2 linked regions of the Xenopus tropicalis genome follow. Each later gene encodes a partner of the first gene's protein in a complex. Links are inferred from orthologs where the notes say so. Each region holds a gene or a part of one and is shown in the gene's direction. Other genes may lie near its edges.

The links. Proteins that work in one complex are often made in the same cells at the same time.
Region 2: the proteins of cnnm2 (region 1) and ptp4a1 are in contact, whole or in part, in a crystal structure (PDB 5MMZ), measured with the Mus musculus proteins. The link is inferred for Xenopus tropicalis from reciprocal best matches to the Homo sapiens genes CNNM2 and PTP4A1. Residues at the interface, in NP_291047.2 of Mus musculus: Phe526, Asp528, Val551, Asn553, Glu556, Gly557, Asp558, Pro559, Phe560, Tyr561; in NP_035330.1 of Mus musculus: Asp72, Gly73, Ala74, Gly107, Leu108, Gly109, Arg110, Arg137, Arg138, Gly139, Ala140, Phe141, Asn142, Lys144, Gln145.

Annotation. Positions count from the first base shown.
Region 1 is NC_030683.2:28,842,323-28,846,468, reverse strand, and holds the start of cnnm2 (metal transporter CNNM2 precursor), read left to right. Parts: upstream 1-1,321; 5' UTR 1,322-1,434; coding exon 1,435-2,890; intron 2,891-4,146.
Region 2 is NC_030681.2:94,857,993-94,862,120, reverse strand, and holds the start of ptp4a1 (protein tyrosine phosphatase type IVA 1), read left to right. Parts: upstream 1-1,265; 5' UTR 1,266-1,426; coding exon 1,427-1,531; intron 1,532-2,519; coding exon 2,520-2,612; intron 2,613-4,128. UniProt on the Homo sapiens protein: Protein tyrosine phosphatase which stimulates progression from G1 into S phase during mitosis. May play a role in the development and maintenance of differentiating epithelial tissues.

The DNA of each region.
Region 1 (4,146 bases):
ACTGTTACAGAGCATCATGGAGAACTGCCTCAAAACTGTACGGGTTAATAAACCCCGCCTTATATATTTTCTAGAAAGTATATGGCACTGGCACAAAAAGACACTTTCTCCTATGACCCCAGCATTTAATCACTGCTTGGGGAAATGAAGTGCTGCAAAGAACCATGCTCTTATTACTGGGAGGAAACCCTGGAACAGCTTCATGTGCAGGTGGAAAGCTATAAAACACTTCAGTGCAAGCAAAGGTCGGATTGCTTGTAGATTAGGTAGAGCCTTAAAAAGCTTAAAAGCAATGCTTACTGGGCACAGATATTGCAAACTTACTGGATTCACACTCTCAGACTCCAAACAAACAGCTCTCCAGTGAGTAATGTAAGAAGAGTTTGCACCAGGTCCAGTAACCCATAGCAACCAATCAACAGGCAGCATTTACTCATCACCAGTTTGAAAGCAAACATCTAGTCAGCAACATTTCTTGTTGGACATCCCTGATTTACACATTACTTTGCACACATGCCCCAAACAATTGGGTGCCAGCCTTCCAGCATCACATGATGCCTCCTCTGTGGAACCTCTGGCCTGAGCATCAAAGGTTCATATTTATTAGATTGGGGCCCCATAGTACACAGCAGCTTGGTGACTTCACCATTAACTTTTAGTTTTTAATATTTTGTCTTTTTGTTCAGCAGTTCTTGCGTTAGGAATTCCATCAGCTATTTGGCTGCTAGGGTCCAATGTACCATAGCAACCAGGAAGCAGTTTCAGAACTGACCTGCTTATATTGTTATATGAGAGAAATTTAAACAAACACTGCTCTCTGTTTCAATTCCTTTTACAGATGTCTTTAAATGCATTTATCTGGTAAATCGCTCAGAACTACATGTTCTTTCAATATTTTGGGTGCAATTCCCCTTTAAGTGTAAGAATGATTTGTTTATTAGGTGACTGCATAGAGCTTGTGAAACTACGGCTCATTGGCTGTTTTTGAGCTACAACTCAGACTCCATGTGACAGCTGGAGAAGCACACGCTGAGGATCCAGCGCTACACGAATCAGCAGCACAAGCAGCTCTGTGTACACATGCCATAAACCCGCATGTCTTCACACAGACCAAGCCCTTTCCACGCTAACACCGCCCCTTTCCCTTCCAAAACCCGCCCACCGCGGCTGAAAACACAGGGATTGGTCCCGCCTCTTTCAGCTGTCAGTTTACTCCGCCCATTTTCTAGAGCTCTCACCTTTTCATTTGTTGTCGGGAAAGTCGCTCAGTAGGTGCCCGCCCCCGCTTGGAAGAGTTGGTTCAATTCTGGACGCGGCTGCTAGCTCCTGTCAGAACCCGGGTGGGTGTCGGGCAGCGCGGGCATTGCCTGTGAGAGAGCCGGGATGGAGCCAGGCCATGATTGGATGTGACCCCCCCCCTCACCCGGACTAAAGATGGCGGGTGGTCCTAAAGCATTGCCCCTATTCAACATGGCGGCGCACTGCCACTGCTGGCTCCTGGCTCTGGTGTTCTTGGTGCTCTGCGGGTCCATGGCTAGTTCGTCCGCGGCCGGAGAGGACAGTGAGGAGACCGTCATTATAGGGCTGCGGCTGGAGGATACGGACGAGGTGTCGGCCATGCACGGCGGAGCGCTGCGGGTTAGCGAGCGGACCCGGGTCCGGTTGCGGGTTTACGGTCAGAACATCAACAACGAGACGTGGTCCCGCATCGCCTTCACTGAGCACGAACGGAGCCGGAGCAGGAGCGGGGCCCCGGGGGAAGAGGAAGGCTTCCACCCCTGCGGGATCCGCACCTCGGACATCATCATCCTGCCTTCCATTGCACTGAGCCGCCGCAGCTCCGGCATCGTGGAGATCGATATCAAACCCCTGCGGAAGACTGAGAAGAGTAAGTCCTACTACCTGTGCACCTCCATCTCCACGCCACCCAGTGGGGGGCACCCACAGCCCTGGGCAGAGACCACCTGGATCTATCATGATGGGGAGGACACCAAGGTGATTGTGGTGGAAGAGAAGAAGTTCTTGTTGCCTTTCTGGCTTCAGGTCATCTTCATTGCCATGTTGCTGTGCCTGTCCGGCATGTTCAGCGGCCTCAACCTGGGGCTCATGGCGCTGGATCCCATGGAGCTGCGCATTGTCCAGAACTGTGGCACCGAGCGGGAAAAGAACTACGCCAAGCGCATTGAACCGGTCCGTAGACAGGGCAACTACCTGCTCTGCTCGCTTCTGCTGGGCAATGTCTTGGTCAACACCACATTGACTATCCTGTTGGATGACATCGCTGGATCTGGACTGGTGGCCGTGGTGGTGTCTACCATTGGGATTGTCATCTTCGGAGAGATTGTGCCACAGGCGATCTGTTCCAGGCATGGACTAGCTGTCGGGGCCAACACTATCTTCTTGACCAAATTCTTCATGATGATGACCTTTCCCGCTTCCTACCCTGTAAGCAAGCTGCTGGACTGTGTGCTGGGTCAGGAAATAGGCACTGTCTATAACAGGGAGAAACTGTTAGAGATGTTGAGGGTCACTGACCCCTACAATGACCTAGTCAAAGAGGAACTCAATATCATCCAGGGTGCCCTGGAACTGAGGACCAAAACTGTGGAGGATGTGATGACCCCTCTCCGTGACTGCTTTATGATGGCTGGGGATGCAGTTCTGGACTTCAACACCATGTCCGAGATCATGGAAAGCGGCTACACCCGGATACCTGTCTATGAAGGGGAGAGGTCCAACATTGTGGACTTGCTTTTTGTCAAGGACCTGGCATTTGTGGATCCTGATGACTGCACACCTCTAAAGACTATCACCAGGTTCTACAACCACCCCTTGCACTTTGTTTTCAATGACACCAAGCTGGATGCCATGCTCGAGGAATTCAAAAAAGGTAGGAATTTTTTTCTTATGAATTACTTATCAGATAGGAGGTGAATAATAAAAAGGTCTGGGCTTCTCACAAAGGGAATAACTAGAACATATCTGTAGATTAAAATGTTCCCAGAGAAGTAGCCTTGGGTTATTGGTACTTCTTTGGGCTTATCTGGTAGTCAGGATAGTATGAACACTTAGCTGATATGAAGTAAAGTAACTTCTTGCCTGGGTTTGTCCATATTGAGACTCTTAAATTGTTTAACTACAACTTCCAGATTCTGTTGATAATTATAATCTTACAGCTGCTTGGAGAACCCTACTAAAGACAATTAAAATAGGTAGTGTAGGTCACTTTGATACCCCTAAGTACCGTGAAAGCTCCTTCTGCAATAGAAGATTCCAATTAAAACATGATGCATAACTTTTTGGGCGGCGAAGCTAGTTCTCCAACCTAGTTTGGATCATTGACAAAAAAGAAAAAGATTAGTACTTTGGGGTTCAGCAGTCAGACATGCCAGCTCATTTCTCATACACATTCCATGCACCTTAATTAACTCACCAGGAATCCACTTACTGATAAAGAATTTGGGGATTGAAGGGCAGTGCCAACACCTGAAGGGCAGGTTGAGGATAGATCCCTGTTTTGTGGGAAGGTAAACTAAACTTGCCCGCTGCAAGAACATTTTGGGGTGCACTTTGTCATGCATTTTCTTTCACAGTTCCAACTATGTATTAAAATGGGGAAAACAAAGGTTTGTAGGAGCCCTTCCAAGAATTCATAAAGCTGGATCTTGCAGTATCCTTTGGATATATAATGCTTGCCATGCAAGAGCAGAATGTGAGTTTGCACTGCAGAGGGTAGGAAAGCATGATCTCTTGCTGTGTGTTGGTGGTCATGTCAGGTTAAGAACAGTAATGAAACAAAAGCCCCATGAGTTGGGGTGCAAGATTTAAACTGTACTCCCCCTACCCCACCATCCCTACTCACACCATAGCTAAAATGGGGTTTACATCATGGTGCAATATCCCTATGGGGAGGCAGGCCTTGGTGCATTCCATAGAGACCCTGGTAGTTAGCTACTGGTTAAAGATTGAAGACAAGGTACAGTATCGTTATTTTCCTGACCATATAAGCATATATTAGTATCATGTAAAATGCAGGCAGATGGCCTTATCCTAGTAAGCAGCTTTGATTTGTGTTATGATCCAATATATTCTCTGAATATACAGGCAAAGCAGGTAGCTTGGTCTTTAGATCATTATTTGTACAGT
Region 2 (4,128 bases), on another chromosome or scaffold:
TCAAAATTATATCGGTGTCACGGTATTTGACGGTATTTTTTTTCCATGCATGATTAGGTGTTAACCCCATTTCCTAATAAATTAGAGAATAATTACTGCAGTATTGAAAATCAGAGTCAGGCAAGCGAAGGATCGGCAACAGAAAGTTTGATAGCTTTAAATACCCCCCACGCATGCACAGAACCGGCGCGTCGCGGACGTGGCCGCTTTGACATGTATGTGCGCTTTGACACGCGTGCGCAACGTCCCGCGGACAACGGGATGCCCACGCAAGGAGGCGTGCGAGACTGGGCCGCACGGGTGAGTACCCTGACACCCCGGTATTGCGGTATCTGAAAAATGAATATAGTTTTTAAAAAAAAAAAAAAGGTATTCGGTATTAAACGGCATATCGCCCAGCCCTACTGTCCTAAAACTGTAGCTGTGTGTCTGTTCTATCAGCCAGAATATTCTTTTTGTCTCATAAGTAGCAGTGGGTAAAACTTTTCACCAGGTTTTTCTGCAAAAAAAAAAATGCATAGACAATGGATTGTAAGGAAAAAAAATGCGCATAGACAATGGATTGTAAGGAAAAAAAATGCATGAAAAATTCAACACAAAAAGGCGCCTATTGACTTCATGTGTTTAGCGAAGTTTTGGTGTAAAGACTGATTTGCCCATCAGTACTGATAAGTTTTTAGGCTTATCACGTTACTGCCACATTTTGCACTAAACTGAGTTCATATGCCTTGTGTGAAATGTGTGAACAATGTGGCTTTATCTCTTCAATAACAGGCAAAAAGTTTTGCATAATGAAGCAATATTTAAATTGTGTATTTTCAGTTAATATTTTATATATTGTCTTTTTATGCATGAACAATGATATGGGGCGTAAATATATGCCACTTAGGTTTATGGCTGTGCTAGCTTTTATGAAAACTTTCAGCATATTAAAAGAGCATTGTTTCCCCCTCTTTTTCAACAGCAGTTCTGTGGTGTTCTTGGTCACACATTTATGGAGTTTCTGAAGGGCAGTGGAGACTACTGCCAGGCACAGCATGAGCTCTATGCTGACAAGTGAACTGTAGAAGAAATTCATTACTACTCCACCAAGAAACCCCCCTAAGAGCAGTCGGCCTGTACAAGAAGTGTTGGATTAAAACTGAATTTGATTGAGCACTTTGCTTAAGGGGCTGAAATCTGGATGGGGTAAACCTCAGTGCACTGCATTTCTTTTGCCTCAGTATTACTGATTTGAAGATTTGCTGCTTCTCATACGGAGGTCCATTTCGCTTCCATTGCTTCCATCCAAGCAAGCACTGAGAATTTTCCCGTGGAGTAGAGTGAAGTTGACTTCAGCTACAAGCATAATTTCTTTTGATTAACTTTTAGTTGCCCCCAAACACTCTTCCTTTTTTAAACCGTGCACATTTTTTACTAATTTAAAATGGCCAGAATGAACCGCCCAGCTCCAGTGGAGATAACCTACAAGAACATGAGATTCCTCATAACACACAACCCCACCAATGCAACTCTAAACAAGTTTATAGAGGTAAGACTAAGTGAACTTTGCTGTAAAATGGGAAGTTAAAGAATAATGAAACTGTTTTTTCTCTCTAAAATGACTCTTAAAATGTTACCAGAATAACATGCCTTTATCGCTGCATTCTCATGTAAATTCTGTATCACAAGCCTCTCAACTTCACACTAGACTAGGAAGCAGCAGAGAGCTGAAGTTCCTACCTCTTTTCTGAACTATCCTCCTCTCTGAATGGAGATGCTCAAAGAAGTGTCTGCGGCACGTTCTTGCTGCCTCTGCTTCAATCGAAATCAATCAGGCATGTGCAGTAGACACCTTCAACTGTTTTTACACTCAGAAAAAAGCCCAGCAAAGAGCTTTATGCTCGACTAGAAGGTAGCTGAGAGCTGAAACGGAGTGCAAGAAGAAAGGGATGTTATTTTGGGGCTATATGAAGTCTTTTAAAAAGATTTTGATAAGTCTTACTTATCCTTTTAAACATAATGCAGCAGTAATATACCTCAGTAAAAAGTAAATTGAATTTATTTTTAGCTTTAATTTTATATAGTACTGGTTCTCACAAAAACACCTTTTATATAGACTTCTCTGCCTTTAACAGTTTGAGTTTTAGTTAATTCTGTCATTTATAAAGGAGAGAATACTATTTCTTAAATTGATAAGCCTGCTTTTTGTGAAAGCACTTGCTAATTGGCTTGTTTGTGTCATGCCATTGTGTTATTGCAGTTTATCACATAAGCCTCAAATGCTTGTGGCTATCCAGTTAATGAATGAAAGCAGTAATATTGTACTTACTAGAAACCAAAAATAAATACACAAGTATTGGTTTTGTCATGGGTATTGTGTTTCATTGCAGTTACATGGTTCTACCCAATAGAACCATGTTTTTAAATGAGATGTGGGTGAAGGATTGCTAGTATAGGTTATAGGCCATGATCTTGAAATAAATGCACCTTTTAAGAAAGTCCAACATTAATGCTGTTTTCTCACAAATCTCTTATAGGAGCTTAAAAAATATGGTGTTACAACATTAGTAAGAGTGTGTGAAGCCACTTATGATACTGCTCTAGTCGAAAAGGAAGGAATTCAAGTTTTGGTGAGTAAATTTCAAAGTGTTAAGGCACTATTTTGATGACTGAAATACACTCATGGAGAAAATGCCTGATGTGCTGTAGCCCTAATTTGTATGTGATAGGGTAGTGTTTGACAGTTAAAAATCACTGGGGGTGCCAAATGTTAGGTGATTCTGATCACTTACCTTTTACTTTGGGCTGGTGCTCCTGTTAGGAGAAAACGGCACCAGACTGGAGTAGCTGTGAGCGAGTGATCCTCTTCCGTGTCTCTTCATTATGAATCCCAAGGCTGACACATGTGTAGCAGAATGAAAATACCAACCTTTTTTGTTTAGGTTTGGCTTTTCACTTTACTGTGCAAGTGGCGCAAAGAGAAGTAGTAAGAGGAACACTACCCCGGGGTGGTGTGGTTATCTCCTAACAGGAGCACAAGCCCTGTAAGCAATTACAATCACTGATTGTAATAGTGATTAACAGTGCTTAACATTTGGTACCTGCCAGTAATTTTTACATTTCCTCCTCCTTTAAGTAAAGGAAAACTGAGTTATCTTATGTAATTATTTGATATTTCAAAGTTGGCATTGCATAAGCAGTTTGCAATTATGAGTGATGATAACTCAGATTTTAGATGGGCTTACTTATTTAGAAATACAGGACTAGATCAGCAACTCATCCCACACATAAATGCATTGACGCTACTGTACTGGGTTTCTATAGTATAACATGACCTGGACTGAAATGATTTTTTTATGGCTACCTGTAAGCTCCTCTGGGTGAGGCACTAATTTTAAATGATGTTTAAAAAGGTTATAACTGACACCTATCAGGTGGTTTTATGTAAGCTACTTGATCATGCTTTCATGTTCACAGATTTATAACATTGGCTAAAATTACTAATAACTGATAGCTTAAAAGCAACCCACTATACAGTAACCTCCCAGCTACTTATAGGAAAATGATGCTCAAAATAATACATAGGGTTATATTCCCCACAATGCAGACCCTCCATGCTGCATAAGATACAATACACTTGTAGTCTGTTTTCTGCATGGGAGAGCAACATTGATAAGTTACTGCAGAAAATGACATCAGGATCCATAAAAGCTTTCAGGTCGCTTCATGGTATGAGTACTCACTCGATTGGTGTGTGCCTCTACCACCTTGCCATGACCTTTTCAGTCGGGTGCTAAGCAGTCACATGACCCCTTGCCTAGGCTTTAAACAAACATCATAGTGAAATCAAACTGCAGCACATACTTGTTGCAAAAGTGAAAAGGTGTCCCCTTCATGGTATGAGGGCAGAATGGTGTTACAAGACCCATCCATTTCCTTGCCTGCTGGTTGCGCAGATGTTAAGTGGTGTGTTCCTCTGCCAGCATTTTTGACATCTGCTGAAAAATGGGCAGTGCCCCATGCCTCAAAAAGCAGGCAGACCAAGAACTGTTCATGAGTGTGTGCTTTTTACAAATAAATATTTCAAATGAGCCAGTATGTGGTTTATACCTATTTTTTTTTTTTTTTTTTCTGTTGAACATCTGA